Lepisosteus oculatus: one gene and its partners. The protein of the gene in region 4 purifies or fractionates together with the protein of the main gene of each other region. This does not show direct contact. Links are inferred from orthologs where the notes say so. Each region holds a gene or a part of one and is shown on either strand. Other genes may lie near its edges.

Region 1 (7,702 bases), on a different chromosome or scaffold from region 4:
GAAACACAAAAATGTGTTATATAGACAAGGGGAAGGCACTGAGCCTTTTTAATTCTGAACAGAGAAGGTTATCTGGAGTAATTCAAAATCCTCAAAGGCACCGACAAAGTCAACCCAACAGACTGCTTGAAGAATGAACACTGAAGCACAAACTAGAACGCACAAGTGTAAACTACATATAAGCGCGTTTAAAATAGAGAACAGGAGGCACTTCTTTACGCAATGGGTTATGGGAGTACGGAACAAGTTAATTAATGTCCACTTCTAATTGCAACAGGGTACAGTTCAAAGTTAAGAATCTAGTAGGAGATGAATGGATATACAGTAATAAACTTGAAGTTTGTCTCATTAGACCTTTCAAGTAGTCACATTAAATTCTCCACTGCCAAATTGTCCACTGAAGATTAATGAATCCATTTGAGCTCAGTTTGTATTCTTTGTTCATTATTTGTTTATTATATAGATAGATAATAAACAAAAAAAAGTATTTATTTGGCTTTTCTAAACAGTTTCTACTTAAGACAGTGTCAGGACTGACTACTGTTAAACATTTAAACTATTGCCTAACAATCTCCTCCCTTCTACCTGAAGTAACAAAATTTTACAGATGGAATTTACAATAAAACACGCCTAAGCTCAATTTACACTTTACATAACCCCAAAAGCCTATGATATGGCTTATAATGGATTCAGGAGTTTGTCTTTCCATAAGAAATGCAATTCTGTTACCATGGAAATCTTTAAGGCGCTAAATCACACACACCAGTTGCTTCTGTTTTTATTACGCTTAAGCAAGCACATGGAAAAAAGCATAACTTAGTGGACCTCAAGTAAACATGCTTTTCTAAATATATACAGTATATTTCTGATACTGGATGTACCAACTCATTAAATTCAGGTGTTGGTCACAGTTCATTAATTTTGATCAGTTGCAACTTCCTTTATATATGAAGCAGTTACAGTCTCAACCCCAATTCAACTTTAGACTGAATAACTCATCATATGAAGAGGTTCCAAGCTGTCTACTCTCCCTGCCTGAAGTAAACAGCCACAAATCATTTCCTCATTCTGATCACCATCTGGACATCTGCACAAAATATAACTATTAACATTCAACCAGCCTCTTGGAGTCTGCCGACAGTGTCTTCAAACCAGTGAAGACACAAATGTTTGAGAAGGACCATAAGCAAGTGCCCAAATCAAAACGAAATTACTGCGGATCTTGCAGGTAATAATATTCTAATGAGTTTCTAGTTGAACACTGCAAATGATGCATACACAAAGCAGTTTGCCACTCAGTAAATTGTTTGTTATGTTTTGGCAATTTCAAAATCCATCCATCCATCTTCTATCTGCTTCTTCCATTTCAGAGTAGCAGGGGAGCCCGAGTCTGTGCCAGCAAGCTACAAGTGCAAGGCAGGATACACCCTGGATAGGACGCCAGTCTAGCGCAGGGCAAGGCACACAAACACAAACATGAGCGCACTCACACCCGGGCCAATCAAACTACCAGTATGTTTTTCGGACTGGGAGGAAACAGGAGTACCCAGAGGTTACCCACACAAACATGAGGAGGGCATACAAACGTCACACATATAGCACCCCAGGTCTGGAATTGAACCCAGACCCCCAGCACTGTAAGGATGCAAAGCTAACCACTGTGCCACTCTAATTTCACAGTACAAGGCAATATTCAGTTGTTTTGGACCAAATGTAGTAAAGTAGTAAACGTAGAAAAGCTGTTTTTTTTAACAGACTTTTGATATCTCTAACTGACTCTTTTGCCATTTCTGAAAAGCATACTTTTTCAGCTTTTGTATTTATTGCTAATATTGCAAATATTTATAAACATTTTCAAATGATTAAAAGAGTTAAATATTTAGGCCTGCTTTATTGAGATACTAATTAGGCACAATAACAAAAGACATTTACTCATTTTCAGTCTGCATGGGTGCAAAGAATGATTTGATATTCAATGTTACTGAAATAAAAGCTTTTCTATCCCATGGGGGTTATGATGAAAGCACATTATGATGTTACAAAAGTATTACAAAAAAACTCAAATCGCTTTATGCCTCTATAAAAGCTGTACAGTTAAAAACACTTTTAAAAAAGTTAAGTTATTTTTCAATTACATTTACATTTCTAGGAAATTCCCAGAAAATTGCTTTGCTATGCTTTAAAAAAAACGGATTAGGGACATCAATTATGCAAAACTTTCAAACATGTATTGTGGAGTTACTGACAAACTGTCAATTATGTATTATTAACTATTATCGCAAGCTCGTATATAATATTACATATAAAAAATCCACAAGACCGAGTTTTGCTATCGATTTACGTGTAGAATGAAAAGTGTTTTATGTATTGAGCGTTTTTGTTCTAACGAGGTTATTTCTCACAAAACGAATGGTTTCCCCTTCATCATCAAACGATCTCGGCACGCCAAAACGCTGGCACGTTTTCCTCCGTTTTGTTTTGTGCCTTAACACCATTACAACATAGCTTTACGGAGCAACAGATCAGCAGACACCAACGACAGCGGCGGTGGCGAAGCAACAGTTAATTCTTTCTTGGCAGAGGCCAAGTTAGTAACATACCGTATGACATCGACCCAGCACGACTACCTCGGTACAGCACTGACAGCGCTATATCACACCAGTACAGTGGACTCGATCGGCTCCATGCACTCACACCAGCGCCGCTGTGCACAGAGCTGGTGGGCCGCTTGTACACAAAGTGAACAGTGGTGGACAGGAAACCACGTGTTGAATTGAATACCACTGCACACGTTAGGGTTACGGTGTATAGCCTACAGGAAGGTGCCAACCAGCTTTCAGGACAGCGCGCTGACCGGCCGCGGTCAGGTTCATTTGGGGTAGCTGGTGAACAAGCTTCCAGAGTAAACGAACAGCTGACGCAACTCCTGAGATTACAAAACGCCGAAGAAAGCGGCGAAAACCAGGTTCCCGCACTGCTAAAACGGCTTTATGCCGAATTTTGTACAGAGCCAGTATTTTGTAAAGACTTGAGTCCAACCCTTTATGCAAGGGGGTTCTTCACATGTGTGTCTTCGCGGTGAATGATGAATTCTCTCCTAACAGTGCCCTTGTTTCACCGCTTTTTAGTTAAACAACGAAAGCAACGCCAACATCTTCTCTACTGTATTGTGACCCATGTACCCTTTGGTGGTTGTAAGCATGAACGAGAGCCTGACTGCACACTGGTCTCTGACAGACACAGGCTCACTTCCATATCTGCAGGACTTACCTCACAGTCCCTCTCGGCCTCCCCCCCCACACACACACAAACCTCCGTGGGTATCCTCTGCAGCCAACTCCGGAAAGAAGCGTTTGCGCGTGAAATCTTGGGAGTCAGTAGTTTGTATATGTTACGTTTTTCTCACTACGTTTTGTGATCTCACTGATATCAGTTCCCGTGTGCGCCAGGTTTATTATGGCCACCACGTTCCTCGCGTCACCGCTTAGGCGACACCACGCGAGGACTTTTGACGTCAAGAGGACAGAGCATGCGCGTCTCAACTCGCTGTGCACTCTGGGTATTGTAGTACTGCTGCAAAATAGGCAAAGCGAAGACGTTCCGTAGCAATAGTAGAAAACTGAGTATCGGGGAAAGCAATTAACACTTTTTAATAAAATCGGCTGTAATGTACAATGAACACCACAAAACATTTAAACGTATGAAACATTTTTACTTTGTACTGTTAATAATTAATCAAGAGATAACTGCAATAATTCCGAAAGAATACAGAGATCAGAAGTGTCATGGTCTGCGGCCCTAGAAAAAACGGCCAGCAGCTGGCGCCCTAGGTAAAACATTTTTTTCTTTACTTTTAAAAGTATTTTACAACCTTGGTTTGATTATTCAGTTTGTTCCGCTGTCTATCCAACCAATGTTTCTGAGCTTAATTAAAACAAAGACACAAAAAGTTTCAGATTGTGTTTGTACACAAACGTGTAGATAATATTTGTCCAATTTAAAATAAAAAAATTCACAGCCAGAATGTCCATTACATTTTTATTACACATCCAAAAGCGTTACAAACTAGCATGCTATAGCTACCATTATTACCAAATCCAACATAGAAAGAAATAATAAAACTGATGAATGGAGTTTAACGAGTATTTTTTTAAATCACTCAATACTGTTAAAACGCCTTATCTTTTGTATTACTCACTAGTTCTTTTGTACAATTCCAAAAGAATTTCATGTTGTATCGACATGTTTTTTTATTTTCTTGTGTCCATGCTGACTTTACTTCTGTATGCAATTCCGTATCTCATTTGCGGTTTTCTTTACAAAATATGTATATCACATTGAAAGCCAAATACTGACTCAGGCTGCTGTTTAAACTGCATCTGTTTAAATCTTTCGACAACCAAGTAAATACTGCAGCAGTATCAAGGACTGCGAAGGAGAAATTCACTTTGAAACTCTGAATCCCTGTCTGTCGTCCTTCATAAGAAACCTGTTGTGTCTTTTTCATAATATTATGTCTATTTCTTCAGAAATTTCTTCTTAAACTGCTTAGTGGTGAGGTTAATCTAAAAAAATACATTGTCCCACAAAAGGCTCAAAGTCTCAAATTTTAACTTGAAAAGCCCATTTGCAAGAGCTTTTGCAGATGAGCGTACCATATTACCACATGGTCCAATAGAAAATGTCAATTACGACATCAAAAACATTTCCTAGTTCAAAGCGAAGAGACTTAAAATGAAGTTATTAATAATAACAACGACAATTAAACAACACAACACATTACACAACATGCAACATAAATGTTACACCATTTACAAAACAAGGCCTAAATTCTACAGACCCAGAAACCCGGAACACTAACCCTGTACCCTGAAATCATATACTGTATATAATGCCTAAACATGTGAACGGGAGAAACATTTGACGTCTTAAATTGACATAAATTGACACACCCGAAGACCCGAAGCTGCAAAGCCAAAACGTTGTGTTCCTTTTCTTCTCTTTTCAGCATGGAATAAACCTTTAATTGTTCCTTTGCAACCTACGCATGCTGACACAACTACCAACTTGAACTAAATTGACATAATATAACCCAGTGCTAAATATCCATTCCTATAATCCTGTATGTCCAAAGGTAAAAGAATCTACTGTACAGTACCTATTCTAAAATGCATAATCACCAAATCCAAGAACAGAACATCTCTCTTCTTTCTGTTAGTTCCCTGTCTCCCTCTGTCTCTTCATCCCCTTTCTCTGACCTGTCTCTCTACTGTGTCTTGTGATATGTATCTGTGTTTTAAATGTTTTTCTTCAGTTTCGATTAACCAGAGTATAAGGTTTTCTTTTATCCTCTGTCTCTCACAGCTAGGTAAACAGCTCCCTTTCTACCTATTGTTTTTCGAGATGGCCTTAAGTTCTAACAATATTATGAAACGTATCCAGTCAGTTTTAATGGCAAAAGCATCTCTTTGTCCTTATTTCTTACACTTAGGACAGTTACATGAAAGGAAAGATTATTATTATACAGACCGATATATCTAAGGTTTATAAACGCTAAAAAAGTCCATATAATGGATTGATATACTGTATCCTTGCGGAGCGCAGCGACAACGCGGCTAGACTGACGTTCATATTTTACTGACTTGTAAGCGACATGGTTATACATACAATATATAGATTGTTCCTGTTTACATTAAAATAAAATCCCAAAAAGAAAAACATATTCATAAATTTACAGAGTCCCTATTGTCATCCTGATAGGAAAACAATCAGTGTTTACGCGCAGATTTAACTTCTTAACCCGACGTTTTCCGTTCAGTTCTGCTAAACGAGTTCTTTTAGCGTTTTACTGAATAGGCTACTGTATAAGATGTATAGGAAATCTACCATTCCCTTCCACCAGAGGTACACTAAAGATCATTAAAAAATAAAGAAATTACAAAATAAATTATGTCCGGTTTTTTTTTTGTAATTTTTAATAACACACCCAAGTATTAATTAAATGTACCATTCAATCAAAAATACAATATAGCTCAATTCAAGGACTACAAGTTGACTATACATTACAGTGATACAGTGTAGTGTTGTTTTGTGCTGTAATGTGCACAAAACAGACCGTTTTAGTTCTGTTTACAACACAATTAACTTATTCCAGTTATTATGTCCTTTAAAGTTTTGGTTTTATCACAGTGGGAAAACTCTGAGAAATATTATTAAGTGCTAAGTCAGAAGTAAAAAAGTAGCTGTTACAAATCACATTTTCGCTGTTTTACCAGAGATTACTTATTTATGAGGCTCAATAGCTCTGAGATGAGCAATACCTGAAACAGGAAAGATGACTCAGGGTGATGCTTGTCACCCCCACCCCGAAGGCGAATGTTTCAGAAACAAAATCATAGTAGACATTTGTTTGTGTTAACAGTTTGCTGTTCACTGTTAAATAAGTTTGACATCCGAATTTTAGCAGATTTCATGTGTGACACATAAGCTACTGTAAATAAAAAAACATTTTTTCAACCATTCAAAATTGTTTAATGGTAGACGTTTAAAAAATTGAAAGTGTGTTTTGATCTATATATTCAATATGTATCAATATCAATGTTCAGTTTGTCAGCTGGGCGGAGATAAATACATCTCTGAACACAAGCTGTTTAAACCGAAGCTTTTACTCTTTCAGTAACCAAATACTCAGTATTCCATATACTTTGATTATTAGTTTCAGTGGGGAAAAATACTGGCACAGTTTGATGCATGGTTGAAAAGAATAATCTAACCTATTATTATTATTTCCTTTATTAAGTAGGAACTCTCCATAAATTGCACCATTTGTCATGTGTTTTTATAATTAAATCGATAGTGAAGTTTCTTTTCATTCTTCAACAGCACAACAGAAATTCGTTCTGATCACCGCTAACGAATCACCTGCCTGCTGTGGACTTAAGAAAAACACTAGGTGGTGCTACTGCCTCTAAAAATCCTACCTTAAACTTAAATTACTGTACTTTGAAAGCACGATTCTTTCAATACTGACACAATGAGGAACGTTTTGCTATTTTTATCACGATGTTATGAAGAATCCAAAAGTAAAAAGCCTTTTTAGTCATCCCTATATTATAAATACCTTAATTAAACTGTGTGCATTAGATGGTTTGAAAAAATAAAATACCCAAAAATCGATTCATACAGATAAAATAAATGCAGAGGAAAATTGGCAATAGCTAATCTTTATATTCAGCTGCACAAAGTGTTTGCAGATGTTCAATAATTCATAGCAATAACAAAAAAGTTAAACTGATTCACAAAATGACATAAAGATAAAGCAGTATTCATGGCCTAAATCAATCCAGTATTGTAAAAGCAATATATTATCACTCTGTGCATCCATCAAAGCAGAAGTATTAAAGTAAAGTAGAATATAAATAAATTGCTTCTCTGATGGCATTTTCTTTCAAAGAAATGTAAAATATTAAACCAATGCTTCAGTATGTGTTGCCAGATTTAGGCTTTGTTATAAAATGTATTTTCAGCTCTCAACAAAATATTTGGTTCAGTACTTATTTTCCCTTTCCATTAATCTACCATTTTGCTAAAATATAGAAACAGATAAGTAATTACTTATATATACAGTAGTGAGTAGCTTATGTAACATTTGCATGAAGGTATCACTCTGCTGGAAAATGTGTTGCTTCTTTAGAACACAAAC
Region 2 (7,171 bases), on a different chromosome or scaffold from region 4:
TAGATCCGAAATTCTTCTTCTTACGTGGCTCTCATGTCATGTGCTGTGGGGATATTTTATTTTTTTTAAATACGTCATGTCTGTACACATTTGTTATTTTCAAACGCTAGGGTTTTGTTTGGAATTAAAGGTCTGTACAAACCTTCAAGAGAAGCGTCTTTCCGTCTCCTTAGTCATCCGTAATAAAAACCCGAAACGTGTTTCTTCTTTTAATCTGGAATATTCCTTATTGACGCATTACGGCTTCCCGGAAAACGTCTATGCACTCTGAATCTGGTCCTCTAGCCTGGTGGGACTACAAACATGTCATGTCAAAAAACATTAGACTGCAGAATCGAAGTGCACTCTGGCTGGAGTTCACCTCCCAAAGATCCAAGTCTAAATTGTGTGCATTAAAGAAATTGGGCCAATTTCACAAGAGGCACGTGGCTTTGAATGGAAAAAGAACAACCTTTTGACTTTCACCACAAATAAACGTGTTTTTTTTATAAAACCGATAATTTATGTATATAAAATGTGGTAAACAGTATGCACAACTTGCATAAAATAATCCCTTGATTGGAAAACTGGGAGCCTTGTAATCCATTGAGTGCGATATAGGCTAGATGAGCTGAATGACCTCCTCCTGTTCATAAGGGCACAGTGTGCTCAGGAGGGGCAATTAGAAAGTAGTCTTCTTGCTCGCTGCAGCATTCAGGGAGTAGGCGTAAGCCAGTTATTCCCTTGGCAATAGCTTTGCTGGATAGTCTAGTCAAGATGAAACTTCAGTGAATCTTGTAAACTGAAATGCTTGAAATTCTCCAGCTCCTGAAATGTCAGATCACTTTTTTTGGCCATATTCAATTTCTTGTATTGGGAATTTGTCTATTCACATACCCCAGCCTGCTCTCCATGAGACACACAGACAGGGAGTGAAGCTTGGGGTCAGAGTTCAGGGTCAGCCATTTATACGGCACCCCTGGAGAAGCTGGGCTTAAGGGCCTCGCTCAGGGGCCCAATGAACCGGCGACCTTCCAGCCACAGGGGCAGATCCTTAGCCACAGAGCCACCACGTTGCCCGAACTTTCTGTGTGACCTGAGGGCTGCGGTTTATCCTAGGCGTCAGGGTTGATCTGCTCTCCCCCTCCCTCAGGCTTCCTGGAGGGCCGGCGGTTGGTGGACGGGGAGCGGGGCTGGTTCCCCGCCAGCTTCGTGAAGGAGATCACCAACGAGCACGTGCAGAGGAGGCACCTGCGCCAGCGGTACCGCGTTCTCCAGACGGCCAACAGGCTGCTGAACCGGCGCACCTCGTCCCGTGAGCGCCGGGTCTCCAGCTGCTTCCGATAGGGGCGGGAGAGACCTGACCCCTCGTGGGCACAGCAAGACCCGGCACCGGCCTATCTGAGGTGGAGCGGATCGGGCTGGGAAGTGTGTGCAGCAGCTGCCTGGATTGATTTTTACACCTGATAAACCTCATAGCAGCATGTTGTTGAGCCCAAGGGCAGGGAGGGTCCCTTTTAAAGAACACCTCCTCTGTAGTGGGTTATAGTGACAATGAAAAACAAGCCAACCCCAAATCACCCTCCTGGCAAGTTGCTTTCCTGCCATAAAGAGGGATTATCCATTCATCATCAAATGTGCCCTTGGCTCTTCTAAGACATTGGAGTAAATAGTATTTTATTATGTAGACCCTCTACGAAGGCCTCACTGACAAATATAAAGACACAAGTAAAGGTTTATTCCATGCTGAAAAGAGAAGAAGAACACAACGTTACGGCTGTGGAGACGTCTTTGAGTGTCACACCCCAAGAAGGCTCCACAGCAGAAACGTTGTATTTCTTTTCATCTCTTTTCAGCATGGAATAAACCTTTACTTGTTCCTTTGCAGCCTACGCATGCTGATGCAGCTACCTACTTGAAATATAAAGACATTCATCTGAATGTGTTCAGTTAATTTAAGGACAGCATGTTATTCTGTAGTGAATTAAAAATGTCAGTGATTTTTGAGGTTTACCATAAATGATGAAAATCTAGCCATGGCTGTTGTGGAACTCTATTTTACACATCTACAGTAGGCACTAAAAATTAAAATTGTATAACTGCTTTTTCTTCTAAGGGGCCACAAACATACTGCAATGAATACTGCCATTGAATAAAACCAAGTTCTAAAATCATATAAAGAACTGCTTCATCTGTGGTCACACTTGTTTTATAGTGCAGTTATATGGTGGTTACAGTGTGCTGTTTACACTACAATTAAACAACCTTTTAATAGAATTAAGCAGTTTGATGTTCATGGAGATCAGGCTAAAGTGCAACCGTGAAATCCCTTAAAACAGCCATCAGATTGGATATGCTGCAAAATCAATTTCATATCCCAGCCTAACCATTTTTTGGGGATAATACCATTTAATTGTATTTGTACATGTAGAGATACAAACAAAATATATAGCCATTCAATTATTTATTAATATTTTAAATGAATATGGACTTCGTTTTAGAAAAGGCAGCTGTTTCTTTAAAAGTCCTTTTGCTTTTTTGGAGTCCTAATCCAGTGGAATAATGTTGCCCCATTTACAAGGGAAGGTTCTGCCCATTTTGCTAATTTCATATCTAGTAGCTTGTAGCAGATTGATCTAAGAATGCCTTCAAATCAATTCTTAAAGTATCCAGATCGTACCCTCTGTGTTCAGTTGCCTCTGGCGGTCTGAATGCTCCGAAATCTCTTGTTGTTTTGGTCAGTGCAGTTCAGGCTTTTGAATACCTGATAGAATCCTCAAATCAGCATCTGTGTTTTATGCTGAATAGATGCAGTCTCTGGGAGTGTAACATTCTTGTCATATCTCTTCCTTCGGATGAGACTTAAAACCGAGGTCCTGACTCTCTGTGGTCATTAAAAATCCCAGGGTGTTTCTTGAAAAGAGTAGGGGTGTACCCCGGCGTCCTGGCCAAATTTCCCATCAGCCTTTATCAATCATGGCCTCCTAACAATCCCCCTCTATAAATTGGCTTAATTACTCTGCTCTCCTCCCCACTGATAGCTGATGTGTGGTGAGCGTTCTGGCGCACTGCGGCTGCCGTCGCATCATCCAGGTGGATGCTGCACATTGGTGGTGGTAGAGGGGAGTCCCCATTACCTGTAAAGCGCTTGGAGTGGAGTGTCCAGAAAAGCGCTATATAAATGTAAGCAATTATTATTATTATTATATCAATCATATGTGTCCACAAGAGACTGAGCACCCTTAAGACTTTGTGTTGACCCTAAAGCTCAAGTGTCTTGTGTTGGAGAAGCCTCGGCTTCCAATCAGACTGACCCCACCCCAGCCCCCCCACTTGTGCTGTGCGCCTGGTGGAGAGTCGCCAGGTCATCCCTCTGGCCATACACAAGGCTCCCCAGGTTGCCCTGGGTACCTGAGAATCAGATCAACAGCCTCGCTAGGCTTTTGTAATCCCACAATTCCCTGATACTTACTCCATCCACTTCCCTTCTTGTACAGTAATATTTTGAGTGTTGTGCAAAGCTCATTTAGTTTTGTCTCATATTCCTGTTAATTTCATTCTTTGGATTGATTCTAAGTATTCCCTTACCCCTACACCTATATATACACACCCATCTCATTTTTCGTTTTCAGGTTTTTATATATCTATAATGTATGTGCATTCCCTCAAGAATAGTTTGGAAAGATGCTTTCTAAGATTAAAATCGATAGCTAATCATGTAATTTACTAAACCTTTGCTTGATACAACATATTGTGCTATTTTAATGAACACAGTTTAACTTACTATTAAGAATGCAAAATAAAGAATGGAGTGGAGTTGAAAGTGCTTTTTGGTTATGAAAGCCGCAATACATTAAAACATTTTTAATGGTCAAGCATTGAATTGCAATAACACTCTTCTGGTAATATATAGAAAGAATCAAAGTTTTTTACTGATATTAAAGAAAGTAAAATAATAAGTAATCGATTCATCTCGTCACGCAATGTATTCTACCCATGAATTTCTGGGAACGAGTTGTCGTTCTTGTAACGCATATAAAATAGTCGATTATTGTGTCATCACTTATCGAACCAATACCAGTCAAGCAAATCAATACCAGCGCTCCCTTCAGCCAATTGTTCTGGAAAGTGGATTCAGCTGTACTTGCCCAATCGCGGAGCTCCTGCAGGTAACATCTTTGTCCTATCGCAAGTGGAACAATGCTGAGGCGGGTTATCCAATGGGAATCGGGGAGGGTTTTGGTTCTGGCCAATCAGAGCGCAGCAGTGCTCGCCGTGTGTTAGCGATGGCCGTCTGAGCGTCTCGCGCTGGGATTTTTAGGAATAAAGCGACAGAAATTCAGGTACGTCATTAATTTCTTCCAGTACCTTTTTTTAAGTCCTTACATTTCAACAGTAATTTTTATTTCATGAAAAAAACATTATGGCTCGGAAAATGTAATCAGGGGTTTCCCACCAAGTTTGTAAATTCCAGAGTGTTGGAGCGCTTTTGCAAGAGAAAAAATCTGCAGTTTACTTTTTGAACGTACTTAAATTCGTAGTTTTTCCGAGTTAGTTGCCTGTTTGCTCATATATTTGAGGTTTTAGAAAAAAGATTTCACCTCGCACTTCTATTTGCATCGGGTACGATCGGAAGCAATCGTATATCTCAGTCGTGCGCCAGTGTTGAGCGTAAAGTTGAAGAAAGTTGATCAAATGAAATGCATGTGTTAGATGAGATTTAATGTTTAATCCGCCCTTTATTAAATAAAAGTTTTGCATTAAATGTTTTGTTTTACCTAAGGTAGTAATTTGATCACGACAGTAATTAATGCTTCTAGAACAAAAACATATTTTGACATCAAATCTCAGCGACATGTACATGCAAAAATGTTGGATGGACTTTAACAAACATTTAGACTTCGGGAACGTGGCCATGCGACTCTGTCATGCATTATTAACCACCGATTGCGATGTGCTGCTTAGTTCAGTTCAAACCTTATTGACACCAAACGTTTTAAGAATTTAATCTTAGTATTCTGGGGCAAGGTACAACACATTTGGAAATTCCCGTTTTAAAGGAGCTGGTTTAGTCGAGTGGATGGGCGAATACCTGTTTTTTTTTAACGCCAGTAAAGTTTACTCCAGTCGCAACCTGTTTTCAGGAATATACAGCATTTCAGCGATTGCGTGTTTTCCCAAAAGTTTATACACTTGCCTTTCTGTAATATTAAAAGATGTCGCATTTGAGTAATACTGTATATCCAAAACCAGCAGCAAGCCCTTCATCATACAACCGTGACTAGGCATAATAGGTTTTCTCCCCCATAAAGCTGCTGTTGATAGCGATAGTTGCTCGGCCGTGCCCTTTGAACTTGCTTAAATGAAAGTCTCGTTTGTTGGAAATGTGCGGCGATAATGTAACGGAGAAACGCGAGCAAGTGTGCTGTAGTTGGTTCAGCAAACGAAGTTCAGATTTCTAGGTTTTGATCGGACAACACAAAGAAAGGTGAAAGGATGGTCACCGTTCTCCGAACGACATGGGCTTTATTCCGCGGAAATGTGTGGGTAGCAATGTCGACGTGTTGTGGGAGTCGGAATTAGAAATGATTCACTGTGCCCTCTTTTGGGAACAGCACAGTGTGGAGGTATGGCCCAAACGAAGCGTGGTGTCTTGGAAACAGTCTTGAAGCAAAAATGTCAGTGGATATTGTTGTATTGTAAAATGAGACTGTCGAGGGATTATTTGGTCACGTTTCTTCTCTTCAGAAAAACAAACAGCCTGATGAGAGTTTATTTCTCCCTCACGCCGAGAAGCCGGTTGCTCTGGAGTCGTCAGGATGCGCGTTGACTGACCCCGGGAAAATGTCAACAAACCGAGTTGTCGCACGGCCTGCTACTGTAACAGAAGGGGGTGACGTCAGATAGTCAACAAGGTGGAGGGCGGCTTTATTGTCACAATCAAAATACTTGCAAGCTTTTCACTGACGGTACACAATGAGGAAGAGTTTCCTTGACCTGCATCGATAACACGGAATTATAAAAATAGCTGGATGGTTTTTACCACCACGGCACAGTTCTCGGTATCTCGACCAACTTGAGTGAAATAAGAATAGCAAAAGGTAGACATTTACACTACTGACTAAGACATTGGGTGTTCCCCAAAGGTGGTTTTTAAGTTGTGGATTATTTGACAATTCCGAGTTAACAATTAAGAAATTAAATGCAGACAATCAAAAATTATAGGCTGGAATACCAAAAAAGCTATAGGGATATATTATGGTACTGGGTTAAGGTTTTTTCAGTGTATTACAGTGGTATTTTGCTTTTTGTATCATATTGTAGTTTTCTTGTGTCTTTGGAGATGTTTCCTGATCTTTAATTTAAGATTCAATACGTGTAATGCCATGTGAAAACACCCCCTTCCTGTACTTTTACTGTGTACAGGATGACTTGGGACATGAAGCAAAAACAAAAAGAATACACCAACTTTTATACTGGTGTTTCACTTCTAGTACTGAACCTATGTGATTTATTCTTTCTTGTGGGTGTTAATGCAAAATAAGTCTTGGAAGATATCTCAAAATAACCTCTACATGGTCTTTTGAAGGGGCTTCCTGTAAATTGACTTATTTGAACTGTTCTTTTTCTCACTATTACAGTAATTCATACACATGAGTATTTAACATGTCTCTGAGTACTGCTAGGCTAGCAGTGTGTCGTACTGTCGTTAAAAGAGCCTTAGCAGTGTTTGTCTGACTTGGGCTGTCTCTCTAATAGGTGTTGTTGACATTGGCGTTGCCAGAATAGTGACATTTTGACACTTTCTCCCAGTCCTCAGAGAGAAGGCGTTTTGCTGTACAAAATAGATTTAACACTAAAAGATCCTCTGTCTAAGAAAGTTCTGTGATCTCACTCTAAAACAGTTGATTTTTAAATCATGGCTTTTTTTTCTTGACTTCAGTCAGTTGGATTTAAAATACGGGCACGTTATTTTATAAACAGTACTTAACCGCAGTCACCTCTTCTGTGGTGGCTGAGTACCAAACAAAGCATCAAAGAGAGATAAACATTGCTCTCTGTCTGTCTTTAGCAAAGTAAAGTATACAGATTCTCAATATTGATTACATGTTTGGCGGCACTTTGATTAATTGATCATTCATGACTGCCCACAACACACTTGAGTCATTTGGGCTTAAATACATAAACCGTT
Region 3 (7,733 bases), on a different chromosome or scaffold from region 4:
TTTACTACTGCTACATGCATGTAGGATGAAACTCTGCGCTTGGACGGCTATTGTTTTCTGTGCTAAATTTGCCAGAGGTCCAGGAAACACTATGGGTTTTCAAACTCTATTCAACAACAGTTTACATCACTGCCAAACATAAAGACTAGCTTACAAATACTTGCTGAAATCACATTAAAAAAGGATCTAAAGAATGTGCAGGGAAACCACAGAACTCAAAATAACTGAAGGGAGAAAAAGCAGAATGGGCAAGTGGAAGCAGTTGTATTAAAAGAGGTGTTTTCATTGGAATGCTTGTTCTGGCTCCAATTAGTGATATTGCCAATGGACAGAAATACAAAAGGACCCACTTTTACTCAGTGAACACATCTTATTTTTGAAAATGCAGAATAAAACCTAAGAGGCCGTCCCTTGCTTTAATACATTTCTGTGTGGTCCACAACAAACTCAGTTCCCTGATGGGAGGAGTCCCCCTTCCATAGTTTTGCACACACTCAGAAGAATTAAAGACTCCGCGACTCACAATGACCCAAGGACCTATGGTGAAAAAAGCATAATGCCTGTAGTACAAAAGTGCAAGGATCAAGCCAGGGAGTGTCTAAACACAGAATGTTCATACTTTACCACCCAGCAAGTCATCCTTTAAAAAACAACAGACTAACTTGGATTTATCCTTTGAATGTCCCAGTGCCATTTTATGACTAGTATATTAAAACATTATTGTAGCTTGGTAGAGCGCATCAATACCAAGACCAGTGGAGGTAAAGACTGGAAAAGTTCTGCAGAAGCACTGATGAATGGATGAACTGGATTAGGATTGCAAAAGTGTGTTAGGATCCTTTGTTAGGATGAAAAGCACTTGTCCAAACAAGTTGTGCCTTTTGTGTTAGTACATAAACAGACATACTGTAGATTTAGAAGCAGTGTCCCACTCATACTGTAAATGGAATCCTCCAGTTTATTTGCAGTGAAACAATGTTTTTTTAGGACTTAAATAGCTCACGCAGGGATTCAATTAAATAATTGACTCCCCAGTGAACTGTAAAATCGCAAATCCTGTTCATGGACTTTCTACTTGACCCTACCCAATGGGAGGCTACCTTTAGAACAGGGTTTGTAATTTGCAGATGTTAAAAGGGTCAAAGTTGTGATTCCATCCTAGCTTAAACCAGGAAACAAAAAACCTCCCTGTCTCTACCCCAACCACTTAGATGAACAACTAGCTCAAATTTGGTCATCATTAGGCTGGTCAGCTCTTTTTCAACGTTATTGTCCAAGAAGGAGGACCCATTTTGCCACCACACTCCTTGAAGCTAAATATCTCCGTGTCCATAAAAGCAGGTCCTTGCATTTGAAGGATGCAATATGTTTGAACACTTAATCCCCGGTCCATTGGTGCCCCTCCTGAAGCTTATCTGTTTTTTTTTTCTCTAAAACAATCAATACCAGGAAGGACCATGCAACCAAAAAAGAAAAAAAAAAGATTCCAACAGTGTTGTCTTGCTTCAGTTGAATTTATAGAAATCACAAAACCTACAGACTTGGGTACTGCAGCTCAATCCGAAAGGACTTCACTTTTCACCTACCTGCTTTTGAGTCTCAACCATGTGGTGCACTGTGGTCAGGCCAAGTTCAACATTCCCCCTTACGAGATATAATCTGAACCGACATCCAGATGCATTTCTTACCAATGGTGAACCAAACAAATCATTTATGCAATAAACATAACGCATAACATTCAAAAAGGCAGGGCAATTCAGGATGTTTCTAACACCATGATCTACAGGGTCAAGCGATGCTATTAAACATAAGCCTTGAAATTAAGATGTTCTGTATTACACTGCTGTGGCTGGTGCTGGCATGCAGAATAGAAATCACAGAGAATTACATTTTCCCTGGCTCCAACTTGCAGGAGTCAAGGCCAGTTTCCATCCGCCTCGTTCCTCAACACAGACAACTCTGCCAGATACAGTGAGCACAAAACCATGCAGCGGGAAACAAAAAACTGTACTTACATCACTCTTCCTGAACTTTGCTTTAAGGCTCTTCATTTTTGTACATGCAGTTTCACAGAAGTCAACAAAGCCTGTGTGAATGAAGTACAATCGTCAATTTGAGTGCTCCTCCTCTTAAAAGAAAAAACACATTCTGGGCGTAATGTGCTCTCCCAAGCGGTCATAGCAGACCAAACAAGTGATACTGTTCAACACATGCGCCCCCATTGAAGACCGGCATTACCGTTATGCTCTTTTAATAAAGATGAACAAACGTAAAATGTTCATTTGCTAGTTTCTTCGTTTTGTTAGTCTAAAGTAACCAGCATGACGGTCTCTCTCTCTATATTTTTCCTACACGTGCTAAAATGTTTTAACCACAATAAATCTTATCTAGATTCAAATTTCACCTTGCTTCAATTAATTTTCTTTTGTGATAGAAACACATCTGCAGCGACGTCTCTTCGTAGTCAGCATATTTCCTCCAAATTACATGACAAAAAGGCTCTCTACGGCTTTAGTACACTCTCCCTTTATATTTTTTACTTGGCAATCTTTTCACTTTAACAGAGCCATCCGGACAATAAAACACATGTACTTTTTTAAAAGGGGGTGAAGGTTATGTTTTTCTATGACCGTCTGTCCAGCACTGTCCGGCTCCGCGAAAACAAAACCCCTATTCATTCCTCTACAGCCTCTGGTCTCTCATTCGTCAAGCCAGCGAGCTCTGCGCTCAAAAATGTTTTAACTTCGCCAAATGTTTTGAAGACTTACCACATAAAAAGTTGAGAGGCGTTATTAGCCAACCTGTTGAACAGTTCCCAAGTTTCACCCGAGTAAAATAAAAGAAGAGGAGAAAGAGAGGCTTAAAAATAATAATGAAACAATCTTTTTTTTCCTCTGAGCTCGGGGAGCACCGACAAGCGCTCTCGCATGTATTAAGTCCGCTCAGCCCATTCAGTGGCCTGCGAAAGTGCTCGGGCGCTCTGATTGTTTCCCTGGGTTGAAAGGGTGACGTCACCCCTGCCCTCGTCACAGCCGACTTTTTTGCAAAAGCGGCGGCTCAGTCAGGCGGTGTTGGTGTACTGCTGTCCACGGGTCTGGCCGCTCAGCCGCCTCGCCCCCGGGCAACGCTGTGACACACACACACACACTCCAAAGTTTGTTTCCAAAGAAGTGGTGCAACAAGAGTTTTATTTATTATTTTTGTTTCTGAATGAGTCAAGGCTTTGAAGCGTTACGAAAAGCTGAAGGTAGTCAGTCAGAGCAGCTTCATTCATTTGCAAGTCTAACAGTGTTTTGCTCAAGTATCTAATTAGCCTACTCCCTTATGAAATAACACAGCTATCCTGCCAGATGTACTGTATTTTGTTGTTATGGGAACTACACTTGGCATTTGGTTTCTGTTCTGTGGGAAATGCTTTTGGAGAGAGGGAAGTTTGTTCAAACGTGCAGAAGATACTGTACAATCTATGTTAGGTTTACATCACCCACGCTGTGGTGTACTATCGTTTGAAGGTGAAATAATGTCTTGGAGGTTTCACAGTGTGCTTGCAGGAGGCAAAGTATATTTCCCTCTGGAAACACAATAATATTTTAGTTTATTTGTGTTCTTTGTGCATCCTTAGTGAATACCTGTTTTTTCTATGGTTAAAAATATAAAAAGAACAGTTTATAATGGATTTTAATAATAATTGTAACAATACAGCTTCTTTCTCACCTTCAGTCCTTTCTCATCACATCCTTATTGTCATCAAAACTGACAAGCTGAAGGCACTGAGCGATTTAAGTTTTGAACAGAGAAGACTATGAGGGGTCCCGATTCAAGTTTAAAAAACATTCAAAAGCACTGACAAAGTCAACCCAGAAGGGTTTGCTTCTGCCACAAGAAGCAAGAGCATCTCAATGCTAAATGCAAATATGCAATGACAAGATCACTCTTCAAATTTGCACATGTATCCTCAATTCACAAGACATCTGTTCCTACCCTAATCTATGAACTGCAAACAGTGTTCCCTTGGAACAGTGCTCTGTTTATCATCATTGTGAGGTTTTGGTCCAAGACAGCCTAATATGATTATCATTTCTTTCAATTACAACATCTATTCATGGCTGGATATGGTGAACAGATGATGTCTGCTCTGTAGACATTCAATTATCCCTGAGCTCTGTTTCTTTATTGAAACCTTGGAATGCCCACATTTTAAAACTCTTCTTGTTCTTTAACTCAGTCAATTGTCTGTTAATTCTGTGAGACTGAATTAGTGCTTCGAATGAAGAAAATAAAAGAGAATATCTCCCGCTGCTGTGATGTATGTATAGAATGGGTAAGATAGTAGTTCTGTTTACCCTGGCCTTAGCAGTGTGTCTGTTTACAGTGACAGCTTCCAGAACCTTTCTTACAGGGGAGCAGGTCTTCTGGATCTTTTTAAATCATCCTTAGATAACAGCCTCAAACACTTTCATTTAAACTAATTAAGTATTTAACTTTCTGTATCTCTACAAATAGTGTACCATTGTGGTCGTAATATAATTTATATATTTTTTTTCTTTGCATAGTCTGCTTCACTTTAGTTTTGCTTTGGTTTTCTAATTTTACATTTTTAGTTTTTCTCAAATTTATTTTGCATTTTACATTGATTTACAAATATCACAATTGAAGTCTCATGGAGCAAGACTTACTTCAGGCTCTGTAGTGGAGAGAAAGAAGCCAATAAATTAAGAACAGAAAACATTCGTTTAAAAATAGCATACAGTATGTGCAATTATCTTGCAGCCACTAATTATCTTATACCATTCCCTCGCACATAAATTAAACAATGGATGCTCTTCAATTTGTCTCATTAAAGATACATTTATAATTTCTCAACAAACTTGATCCTATCATGTTGAGAAAGTTTGATACAGTGATAATATATCTGCAGCACAGCACCAGACACACTACTGAGGAGACACAAACACAGCAGTATCTTGTGAAGTGACAGACAATTATGCTGAAGGTAGATGTGGAAGTGTTGAACTCTCGTATATTTAAAAAAACATCCAAAGATCACTCTGTGGCTTTTAGTTTCTGAAAAATATACAATTTACATCATACATCCCCTTTGATTCAGTTTGGAGGAGAGTCAAATCTGGGGCCTGGCTGAACCCACACATATACTGAACATGACCACTTCTGTCACGTCTAAACATACAAACCTAATGACAGATTGGATTTGTCTCCCAAATTTGTGTATCTGTTACAGAATTATGTGGATTAAAGGAGCTATTCATATCGCCAAATCCAATCCTTTTAGCTCACATCTTGTATGCCCTGTTTTATGTGTTTCGTTGGTTGTTGTTTTGTATTCTGGCTTCTACAGTGTTTAGCTCATTAACTGTCTATAACTATAACTACAATATAATCTATTAACCTTAATTTTAATCTAGAAAATGAATACACAAACATGGGCCTTAAATATCTGTGTGTATGCAGTCAAAGATAAAAGTACAACTAAGGGTTAATTACACACTGAAAAGTAGAAAGAAGAAACACAATGTTTAAAATGTAGAGCCTCTTTCAGGTGTGAGGGCCGAAATACAAAGCACAGGAGAACACAGGACAGAGCAGGTGAGAACCGGCACACAGGTGAGAATGAGTAACCACAGGAAGAGGGCTCTGGAGGGAGGTGGGAAAAGCTGAAATCGGTCAATAAGAGAGCAGGTTTAAAAAGACATGTGATAACACGAAAAAATGGAACAATCCCACAGTAAGTTAGTAAACTGTGTGCACTGGCATCCATTATATGGCATCTGGCATCTGTTATAAAGTGGAAGCTTCTGTCCTGAGAGACCTGTCCTCATTCTTTGATGTGAGCATTCTTGAGTCCAGTCGGATTGATGGATTTATTCACGAGCACAGAGTATTTCAGATTTACCATAATCATTTCTGTCAGATTCAAGTCAGCTGATTGGCACAGCCAGCACTGCCCTTGGACCCTTAACACTGCCTTTAATTGTCCTTCTTTCTCACACGCGTTTCCCAGTCCACAAACAGCTAAGGTAAATTAGACACTGGACAGAATGAAGAAAACATTACTAGGAAACAGTAACACAGATATCCCAGACATATCTTTTTGCATAAACATGATCAATTCTTTCTGTTGGTGCTTAGCTAAAAGTCTCTTATTTTTATGAGTATCTACAAAGTTTATATGAAATGTATAGCTCCTAAAGAGATTTCACTTGGTTACTAACCATACATTATTTATAACAAGACAAAGACAAAAACTAGTAGTGCATTGTAGTGTATCAATTTTTGTAAGTGAATAAGAATTCATATGAATGCAAATGGGTTTTAAAACTGCACTTTTTGTGCAGTAGGGCTGTTTTATCTTTGTAATATTTCATCTGGGATAGTACCCTCTGTTGCAGTAGGGGGTAGTATTAACACTGCTTACAGAACTTTCATCATTTTGGCAATACAGGATAATGAACTGAATGTATGGCTTCTTTGTTTTTCATAACCGTGGTAATTTAGACACATCTGTGTTTAATTCTCAGAAAAAAATAGCTATGCAGTGCATTTTCCTTAGTGAATGTTTTAGCAATTTCACTGAGTTGTCATTAAAACGTGAATGTCACTGCATTCCTGTTATCACTGAGACAGAATCATCCCAAAGGATATCAAAGCTCTTTATGTGCTGGATTGAACTGCATCTTCACACAGCTGAAGTACTCAGTTTGGACTCTTCTTCTCTCCAACTGTGAATGAACAAACTAAGGGTTTGCTCAAGTAACAGTGTGCTCAAACCTGTCCAGCTAGCTACCTTACACATCAGAAACCCAAGTAACCAACTGGACAACCATGAGTGTTGCCTTAGTCTTCCTGATGCCTTTGTCCTGTTGTTTGTGATATGGGTGTCTACTGAAAAGAAAATAAGAGTCTTCTAATGCATCCTTTTGGGTAGATAATAACTCCTCTGTCCTGGAGACCACAGTCAAGAAGGTTTGTAGGGTTCTTTAAATCTGCACGAGTTGGGAAGATCAATTAAACTCCTTCTTTATTAGTCCAAATGTGATATTAACTGTCAATCTGGAATAAAAAGCTACGGGCACAGCAGCCCCCTGGAGGACATGTGCTTGTTGTCTTTCTGTTTCTTGTTTTGTATGCTGGAAAGCCCAGCTTTCTCACTGACGACAGAGGATGGTTTGACTAAAAGCAAAATAAGTCTCAATACTCCTAGCAATAAAGTGCAGGTGGGTTTCTGCCCACATAATATCTCTTAATGTGAAACCCTGGCATCCCCCATTTTCTCATTTTATGGAATCCCATTACTTATGCTCTCTGGTTACTCAGAAATCAAAGGGTCATAGGGTTGCTTTTATTTTGAAGAGATTTTTCTGAGGAACTGTGGACGGTTAGAGGCTATATGAAATGGGGATCAAGGAACAGAGTTACAGAACTGATGTCACCCCCTCTGAAATCTAGACAGTGTAGAACTCTACCATGACAGGAGGACCTGGTCTTTTGGAGTGGCAGAGCTACCCTCTGTCTAGGGAGGGGCAGCCAGTGTAAATGCCAGCAGGGGCACTGCTGCCACTGTCACATATGCACCTGTTTGAGTGAATAACAGGAAGTGGCAAGGATCTCTGGCCATTTCTCGTTGCCATAGGAGTAGTCAATTCCTCCCCCAACACTGCCACTAGGTGGAATCTTCCACTTTGACCAAGGCCAGATGCTCAGCTCAGCAATTCAGC
Region 4 (7,700 bases):
CGAAGGGCGGCTTCCCCACCAGCAGCGTGTAGCTGGACAGAGAGGGGGGGGACGGGTTCGTCAGTCAGCGAGGTGCACTAACTAACAGCAGGCAGATCATTCTGGTAGACAGCACAGCCAATAGTCAATATGGTCAGTCCAGTCCAAAACCACACCGGAGAACGCAAGTCTTCTAGCTGACACACGCTCAATAACTACCCCCGCCCCCCCAACTCCAGTGCTTACAGGATGCAGCCCAGTGACCAGATGTCCACCTCAAAGCTGTGGCCCTTCTTGCACAGCACCTCGGGGGCGATGTAGTTCGGCGTGCCGCACAGAGTCTTCTTTCGCTCGCCATCGTACTCGATCTTCGTGGCCAGGCCAAAATCGCCTGCAGGGGGGCAAAAAAAAACAGGCAGGCATGGACTCAGGGAGCCAGGATGCAGAGCTGACGCCTAGAGCATGAGGAACACATAGAGGCACTGATGTCATTTGACCAGTCTGCGCACGTGAGCAGTTCATCTCGGATGCAACAGGAAGGAAAGTACGTTTTCGAGGGTTTGCCAGTTTCTTGGCTCGGGATTTCAACTATCAGCAACTAAGGTTGCTGCTGGAAGAGGCGTTAGTGGGGCCAGTTAGTGGTCTGTGTGGGTCCTAATGCCCCAGTGTAGTGACGGGGACACTATACTGTAAACAGGCGCCGTCCTTCGGATGAGACGTAAAACCGAGGTCCTGACTCTCTGTGGTCATTAAAAATCCCAGGGTGTTTCTCAAAAAGAGTAGGGGTGTAACCCCGGCGTCCTGGACAAATTTCCCATTAGCCCTCATTAATCATGGCCTCCTAATTAATTCCCCTCTATGAACTGGCTTCATTACTCTGTTCTCCTCCCCACTAATAGCTGGTGTGTGGTGAGCATACTGGCGCACTATGGCTGCTGTTACATCATCCAGGTGGGGCTGCACACTGGTGGAGGTGGAGGTGGAGGGGAGTTCCCATTACCTGTAAAGTGGATTGTCCAGAAAAGCGCTATACAAGTCTGAGGAATTATTCCTTTTCACGAAATGAATGTCAGCTGACAATTTTCTAACATCGCAGCTCCAAAACCCAAAGGGATCCCCCAAAAACCCCCTACCTCTAGACTGGAGACCCCCAGTCCACATCACTGCCCACCCCTCACTGGTGCCTGGACACGAGTCCAGATCTTTACGAAACAGAACCCCTGGCTCGTCTCTGCAGGCAGAAGAACAGTTTTCTGAGCAGGCCCAGCTGCATTACCTATCTTGACCTCCATCTCGTCGTTCAGAAACAGGTTCCCCAGCTTGAGATCTCTGTGGATCACTCTGTTGTTGTGGAGGTACTGGCACCCCACAATAGTCTGCCTCATATAATACCGGGCCTCCGGCTCAGTCACCGCCTTCCTCCTCTTGTGCAACTCCAGCAGAGACTGGAGGGGTGGGGAAAAAAAAGATGTTCAAAGACCTCAGTGAAAGAAATGCAATTAGGTTAGAAGTACAGACTCTGCAAAAACGTGTCAGAAGGGAAGTTTTACAACTTGAACAGGAGAAATGGGGGAGATTACGGGATGAAATACTTAAGTACAAAAGCAAATCAACCCTATCAAGTTGTAAGTAGTTCAGCTAGGTAGCTGCATCAGCATGCATAGGCTGCAAAGGAACAAGTGATAGGTTTATTCCGTGCTGAAAAGAGAAGAAAGGAAACAACGTTTCGGCTGTGGAGCCTTCTTCAGCTGTGAGGAAGGCTCCACACCCGAAACGCTGCATTTCCTCTCTGCTCTTTTCAGCACGGAATAAACCTATTACTTGTTCCTATTAAGTTGTAAGACGCCTCCAAAAAAAAATTTGATCTTTACGCAGCGGGGGAAAGTAATCACTGCACTCATTCCCAAACAGTTTGGATACAAGGGTAGCCAAAAGGTGCACATTTAGAGTCTGTTGGGGGGAAGGGGAGGGGTGTTCCCTTTGACACGCTGGAATAGCTCGGGCAGGAGCCACACTCCATAGGAACAGGAACTGCAGGAGGCGCTCGGAGCGTCATGGCAATGCGAGTCCAGGCAAGCGCACGGCCGGGGGAGGCTGCGCAACACCCGACCCGAGGGGAAAAAAAAGGCTGGCGTACGCGCAATCGGGTTCCATTCGCAGAAAAAATGGGGTTGCAGTACTGAGGGGGTGCGCCCCGCCGCCCACACACACACACTTAAAAACCACTCATCTCCGGGTAACCGTTTTTTTAGAAAGTTACCAAAATGGGACACCGAGCATTTTCCTCTAAAAATGTAACTTATTAAAACAGCAGGTGAACAACTCGCCACTATCATCAGCTTCATCAGTCGGTTAACAACTCGCCACCCCATCCTTTCGGTTACAGAAATGCCGGATTGTCCTCTCCTCCGCCCGGGCTCGGCCCGACCTGACAGTTACAGTACTCACCCGTCTCCGGCAGATCTCCAGGACCACGTACACGAAGTCCTCGTCCTCGAAAAAGCCGTGAAACCCGACGACGTGGGCATTATTCAGGCTCTTGTGGATCGTGATTTCCATGGACATTTTCTCTTTCTGATGCGGCTTCAGTAACATGGACTTGGGGACGACCTTCCCAGCGAAGACCTCCTTGGTGTCCATATCTGTGATCTCGTAGCACTTCGCGAACCCCCCCTTCCCCAGAAACCGGCCCCGGAGGTACCTCTTCTTGGTCCGGGTGTCCACCAAAATATCGGGGACCTCCTTTAGCGGGGCCGACTTGGGGTCAACCTGCACTGACGGCTTCATCGCCTTCGCTGCTACGGCGGCGGCGCTCATTTCGAAAGTTAAGCGTTTGAATATATTAATGTAACCTCAGCCCTCTTTACAGAACCTACCGAGACTTGTACTTATATCGATTTTTTTTTAAAAAAAAGGCAGATCCAAAACTACAAACCAACGGACACAGGCCAAGTCTTACAGCTACTACCCTTTCTCCGAGCCGCATAGAAATTCAAATCAAAACTTTTCCCCGCAGAAGACAATCGGCTCGATGTAGACTCATACGGAGACGCTTTAATGTTAATAAAAAAAAGTGTGCAAAAAGCGCTGTGTATTTTGTTTGTCAGCCAGTCCTAACCCCCCTCCAACGCCCGTCTCTACCAGCCCCCTCTGTGTCCTTCTCTGGCAATACAGCCCTTGTGGACTCGACAGCATTTCAAATCCAGCTCCGTTCGTTAAAAGCGACGGCGCCGCCCGTGATTGGTCCGCAGGATTTGAAATCCAGCCTGCCCGCCGCAGGGCAGCATGGGAGCGCCCAAGTTTAAATGCCCCCTGAGCTTTTGAACCAGCTTTATTGACAGCCCCCCCGGACGAGACACACAACAGCAGGAGGGCACGCTGCTTTCTCCCTGGTTACACAGAAACGCCAGACGCAGTCTTGTTGTTGTTGTTTTTGAGTATGGAAATACTGGTTTGCAGAACTCACCAGTACTGGTTTGAAATCTGACAGGACTGTAAGTATATTCTAGTGACTCTGGTCTAATGTTTTTATTTTATTTTCAGGCTTGTCTTATACAGCTTCTGTAACCAGGTATCTAGTAATGGGTAATTGTTGATATAAAGAGTTATTCTTTATATGTAATCGTTCTTCTATGAGGATCAAAATGATCGAGAAGTGAATTCCATCCCCACGCCCACCACACAAATACTGTACCATTAAGCATTTTCCTGTATCCGTATTCCGCTGTGGAGTGTTAAAAATGAATTTTAATCAATTAAATGCCATTTATTTTTTTACCCTTTACAGTGCGCTGTAAACACTAACTCGAAATTTATTTTTAAAAAGTCCTGCACCTCCCAGTTCCTGGTATATTTTATCCCATTTTAATCGGCACACTTAAAAATCTGTGTGTCGTCGGGCTGCTATGTGGCAGTTACTTGAAAAACAACGACCACCGGAGTTTATTGGGAGGAAAAACCATTACGAAGCACGTAGTTTTGGGTAAGCTATTAATTGGATTACAATGGGAATGCCAAAAGGACATTAGTCACTGAAGTACAATAAAACTGAGTCACATGAAAGTGACACCGATTTTCCTCGTACCTTGGGTTGTTTGGAAGAGTATTTTCAGGACAACACTTCCTCTAATCGGTCGCAAATTACTTAGCTTGAGCATAACGACAATCTTCTCCTGTCCCGGAAAATTCTTCCATTTCCTCAGAGCTCCGTTGGGGAAGCGATATCCTGTCTGCCTAAGCGACAGGATCTATTTTCTCTCAATTCATGTATATATATATGATTATAAAAGTTATCATTAACGGTACTGTAGTTAAATCGCCCGTCGTGGCAGAGGGAAGGAAGTGTATTATTCGGGACGCGAATTAGCCTTTCAATTCAAAAACAAAGTCCCTAATTAAAAAAAAACTACCGAATCCGTGTGTTGCTGTGTGCTGTGTGAAAACTGTTGATTATCGAGGTGAATGAAAATAAATATTTCTATAAAAGGTAGCAAATACAGACCGAGGGCCTTACAGGAACGTATCTAACACATTGTATTTGTGACATCCAATGATATATGAGAAGAAAAAAAAACAATTTAAAAAGAACAGAAGGGATTTGCGTTACTTATGGTATTGGAACACTCTGACCACTAGAGGGCGGTGGCAGGCGGGTCACGGCTCTGTGTCCCAAGTTCTCCGAAGACACTGAGTGCCTGGAAACGTTAAAGTTTAAGAACGTTTTGGCAAGTCCTTTCACCCGGTCGCAGATAATCGCCGAAAGGGGTTACATCCAGTAGTTTTTTTTACTACGGTATTTTTTTTGTAATTCAAGGCCACATTGGTCACCTAGTTATATCACTCCATTCAATTTAGCTATATCACCCTTCAGTTCACCATTTGCAGCTCACTGAAGCTCCGCAGGTGTGAGCCTGGTCAGTACCTGGGTGGGAGACCTCCTGTGAAAAACTAAGGCTGCTGCTGGAAGAGGTGTTAGTGGGGCCAGCAGGGGGCGCTCACCCTGTAGTCATTTGGATCCAAATGCCCCAGTATAGTAATGGGGACTCTATTTTTAAAAAGGTGCCATCGCTCAGATGACCCTGACCTTCTGTGGTCACAGTATTTCTCAAAAAGAGTAGGGGTGTAACTCTGGTGTCCAGGCCTTGATCATTCATGACCTTGACCATCCCCATCTATGAATTAGCTTCATCTCTATGTACTCTGCACTGATGACTGTACTGTCCATTAAAATCACTCAAGTCTCAGGATTCTGCTGAGATATCGAGGGCTTTACAACAAGGGGTGTCAAAATAAAGGGGTTTATGGAAATATGCCTATCTGAAAGCGTCATGCACTGTCAGAAAGGATAGGGAGCCTGCTTCAACCTTAGCTCCCGGCCCACTGCTATACAGTCCTTGACTCTTTCCCCTCAGCTATTTAGCCACCTGTGAACATCTCTTTTACAATTCACTTTGCTACCTGTTTACGTATGATGTGATTGTGTTTTGCTTGTCTCTGAATTTCAACGTGTATTTGTTAATATTGTATGTTGTTTGTCAGCGTAATCGTGTTCTCTTGCTGTACCAAAAGCAAACTCCACCAAATATTGTTGTGTGGCAATATCAAATAATTATTAACTAATAGTTAAATAATAATTAATTGATTACTTAATTTTAGGCGATCAATTTTTAAGTATTCAAATATATTATTACAGTCCAAACAATGTTTGATAGGAAAAATATTACACAGGAACAATACAAAGTTAATAGTGCACTGCAAGACTTTTCCACAACGTTCTTGCATTTACTGCTGTATATGTTACTATTACTTTACTTTCATATGATTGGTAAGGAAAGCAAAGTTTATTTTGTAAACACCTTTGATTATTTTTAAGAATGCAGGCACCCGTTATCAGTAGATATAATACACATGGGCTGGGACCATTCTGGCTATTCATTAACTATAACATGTTCAAATAAATAAAAATAAAGAATGGAAGCTATTAACAGACTATTTGAGCTTCACCCCCTCCAATCCTCCTGGCACAGTGTGCAGTGCGTAGGAGGCAGCGTCTGCCAGATTCAGACCGGATGTTTTTGTGCTTCTCAAGACTCTTTGGATCATTTGCTTATTTAACCTCCTAAATGGTCTATTCATTCCCAGTTTGGGAGGATCAATAGATACACATGTCTGTTCAGCACAGGGGGATATCTTGTGTGTGCAGATTTGAATATCAAAAGGCCACAGTACGTTGGCTCCAAACATGTCAAGCACATCTGCCAGTGCTGGAGACAATGGGCAGAGCTTGCAGAAGATGGGATTCATGTGGGTCTTGATTAGAGCACAGGTAACAGAAATAGATTCTTTAAATACACACTGTTTACATCGTGCCGAGAGAAAGAGAGTGTGCCTTAAAGATAGATGAGAGGGACAGGAATAGGGAAAAAAAAAACATCAGCCATCCAGATTGGCCTCCAGCGTGTTCCTGACCTGCACTGCGGTTCTCATTAAGACAGCTGCAGTTGCTCAGCTCAGCTCGCCTGCCTTCAACCTGAGCCTCTGTGCTCACAGGCACCATGGCTGGATCAGGTGAGGGCACAGCAGTGTGTCGGTTTCTACACAGCAGAAAGGGGGTTTTGTGAGCCAAAAATGAATTGCTAAACTCTGGGTGATGCAGGAGTTTGATTGTCCTCTTGCAGAATCCAGACCCCTGGGTGTGTACAGTACTCGCCAATGGTGCCAGCTGCACAGCAGGTCCTTGTCCTCTCTCCTAGCTTGCTGTGCCTCTTCATGCCCCACCTGCCCATGTTTCACCTTTAAGAGTCTACAATTCATCCCTGCATTTCTTTCACTTCTGCACCTTTTGTGGCTTTACCCTCTGTATTGTGCTTCGTTATTGCCTTTCTCTTTATTCTGTATGTTGGGTTTTTTAGTCCAGCAATTGTCTGGTATGCACATCATCTTGGATAAGTGCATCAGCTAAAAAAATAATACGAGATGCGTGATACAGCCCTAGAATCCGTGTGAAGACTAAATCAGGGGAGATGATAATGGACAGAGGCTGGCCTTTCAGTTATCAGATTGGAGCCCTCAGGTTTCCCTGATTGCGAGGAGAGAAGAGGTGTCCATTGTCTGCAAATACATCCACTCCGGTTTCCTAGCACGTTCCCAGAATGCTGTCGTGGGAAGGTCAACTCTTTCAGTACCACGCTGTCTAATCGGCTTTCTGATCAGACTCAGTGCACACGTGAGGCTTTTGTCGAAGGCATAAAAAGGCAGCGCTCTCACGTGTAGACTGCAGCAGCCAGCTCCTGCAAATGCCAAGGCCCTGCCCAGCTCTGGGTGGGAGAGATACTGAGTAGAGAGGAGTGCGAGGAAGTGTTAGAGTCAATCCCTTAGTCCTAGGCTTGTCCTCACTCTTTTGGCCTTCTCAGGTAACAGCATTTGCACTTCAACCCTGTGTGTGTTAATGTAACTCTGTTTTGATCCCCGGAGCCAGTTGTTCAACAGCTGCCACCTTACAAGCTGCGGAGAGGACAAATAAAAACAGATGGAAACACAAACACGGGCTGAATCATCCGCTCGCCCTGCTTGATGGCGTTGGGTCCCGTTCTAAACCTCGTGTTTTCGTTCTGCTGGCCGTCGGAGATGATCGCGTGCTGTGGTGCCGCCTTGCTCCCAGTTCTGCGCCCGCTTTGTGTTTCTGGATGAAGGCGGAACCCAGGTGCAGATCTCCTCTGGCA

What was found.
Region 1: the proteins of plk1 (region 4) and DDB1- and CUL4-associated factor 1 purify together in Homo sapiens (affinity purification with mass spectrometry; 3 studies listed by BioGRID and IntAct, with this or other methods). This does not show direct contact. The link is inferred for Lepisosteus oculatus from reciprocal best matches to the Homo sapiens genes PLK1 and DCAF1.
Region 2: the proteins of plk1 (region 4) and farp2 purify together in Homo sapiens (affinity purification with mass spectrometry; 3 studies listed by BioGRID and IntAct, with this or other methods). This does not show direct contact. The link is inferred for Lepisosteus oculatus from reciprocal best matches to the Homo sapiens genes PLK1 and FARP2.
Region 3: the proteins of plk1 (region 4) and rai14 purify together in Homo sapiens (affinity purification with mass spectrometry; 4 studies listed by BioGRID and IntAct, counting the BioPlex papers as one, with this or other methods). This does not show direct contact. The link is inferred for Lepisosteus oculatus from reciprocal best matches to the Homo sapiens genes PLK1 and RAI14.

Annotation. Positions count from the first base shown.
Region 1 is NC_090699.1:58,782,871-58,790,572, forward strand, and holds the start of DDB1- and CUL4-associated factor 1, read right to left. Parts: upstream 3,221-7,702; 5' UTR 2,611-3,220; coding exon 2,601-2,610; intron 1-2,600. UniProt on the Homo sapiens protein: Acts both as a substrate recognition component of E3 ubiquitin-protein ligase complexes and as an atypical serine/threonine-protein kinase, playing key roles in various processes such as cell cycle, telomerase regulation and histone modification.
Region 2 is NC_090708.1:12,321,903-12,329,073, forward strand, and holds the start of farp2 (FERM, ARHGEF and pleckstrin domain-containing protein 2), read left to right. Parts: upstream 1-4,117; 5' UTR 4,118-4,148; intron 4,149-4,218; exon of another isoform or gene 4,219-4,322; intron 4,323-5,444; exon of another isoform or gene 5,445-5,467; intron 5,468-5,974; exon of another isoform or gene 5,975-6,080; intron 6,081-7,171. Other genes in the region: ephexin-1, read left to right, coding at 1,133-1,326. UniProt on the Homo sapiens protein: Functions as a guanine nucleotide exchange factor that activates RAC1. May have relatively low activity. Plays a role in the response to class 3 semaphorins and remodeling of the actin cytoskeleton.
Region 3 is NC_090698.1:16,594,553-16,602,285, forward strand, and holds the start of rai14 (ankycorbin), read right to left. Parts: upstream 3,015-7,733; 5' UTR 2,769-3,014; intron 2,087-2,768; 5' UTR 2,052-2,086; coding exon 2,016-2,051; intron 1-2,015. UniProt on the Homo sapiens protein: Plays a role in actin regulation at the ectoplasmic specialization, a type of cell junction specific to testis. Important for establishment of sperm polarity and normal spermatid adhesion.
Region 4 is NC_090714.1:12,120,446-12,128,145, reverse strand, and holds the start of plk1 (serine/threonine-protein kinase PLK1), read right to left. Parts: upstream 3,206-7,700; 5' UTR 2,797-3,205; coding exon 2,428-2,796; intron 1,425-2,427; coding exon 1,256-1,424; intron 371-1,255; coding exon 226-370; intron 33-225; coding exon 1-32. UniProt on the Homo sapiens protein: Serine/threonine-protein kinase that performs several important functions throughout M phase of the cell cycle, including the regulation of centrosome maturation and spindle assembly, the removal of cohesins from chromosome arms, the inactivation of anaphase-promoting complex/cyclosome (APC/C) inhibitors, and the regulation of mitotic exit and cytokinesis.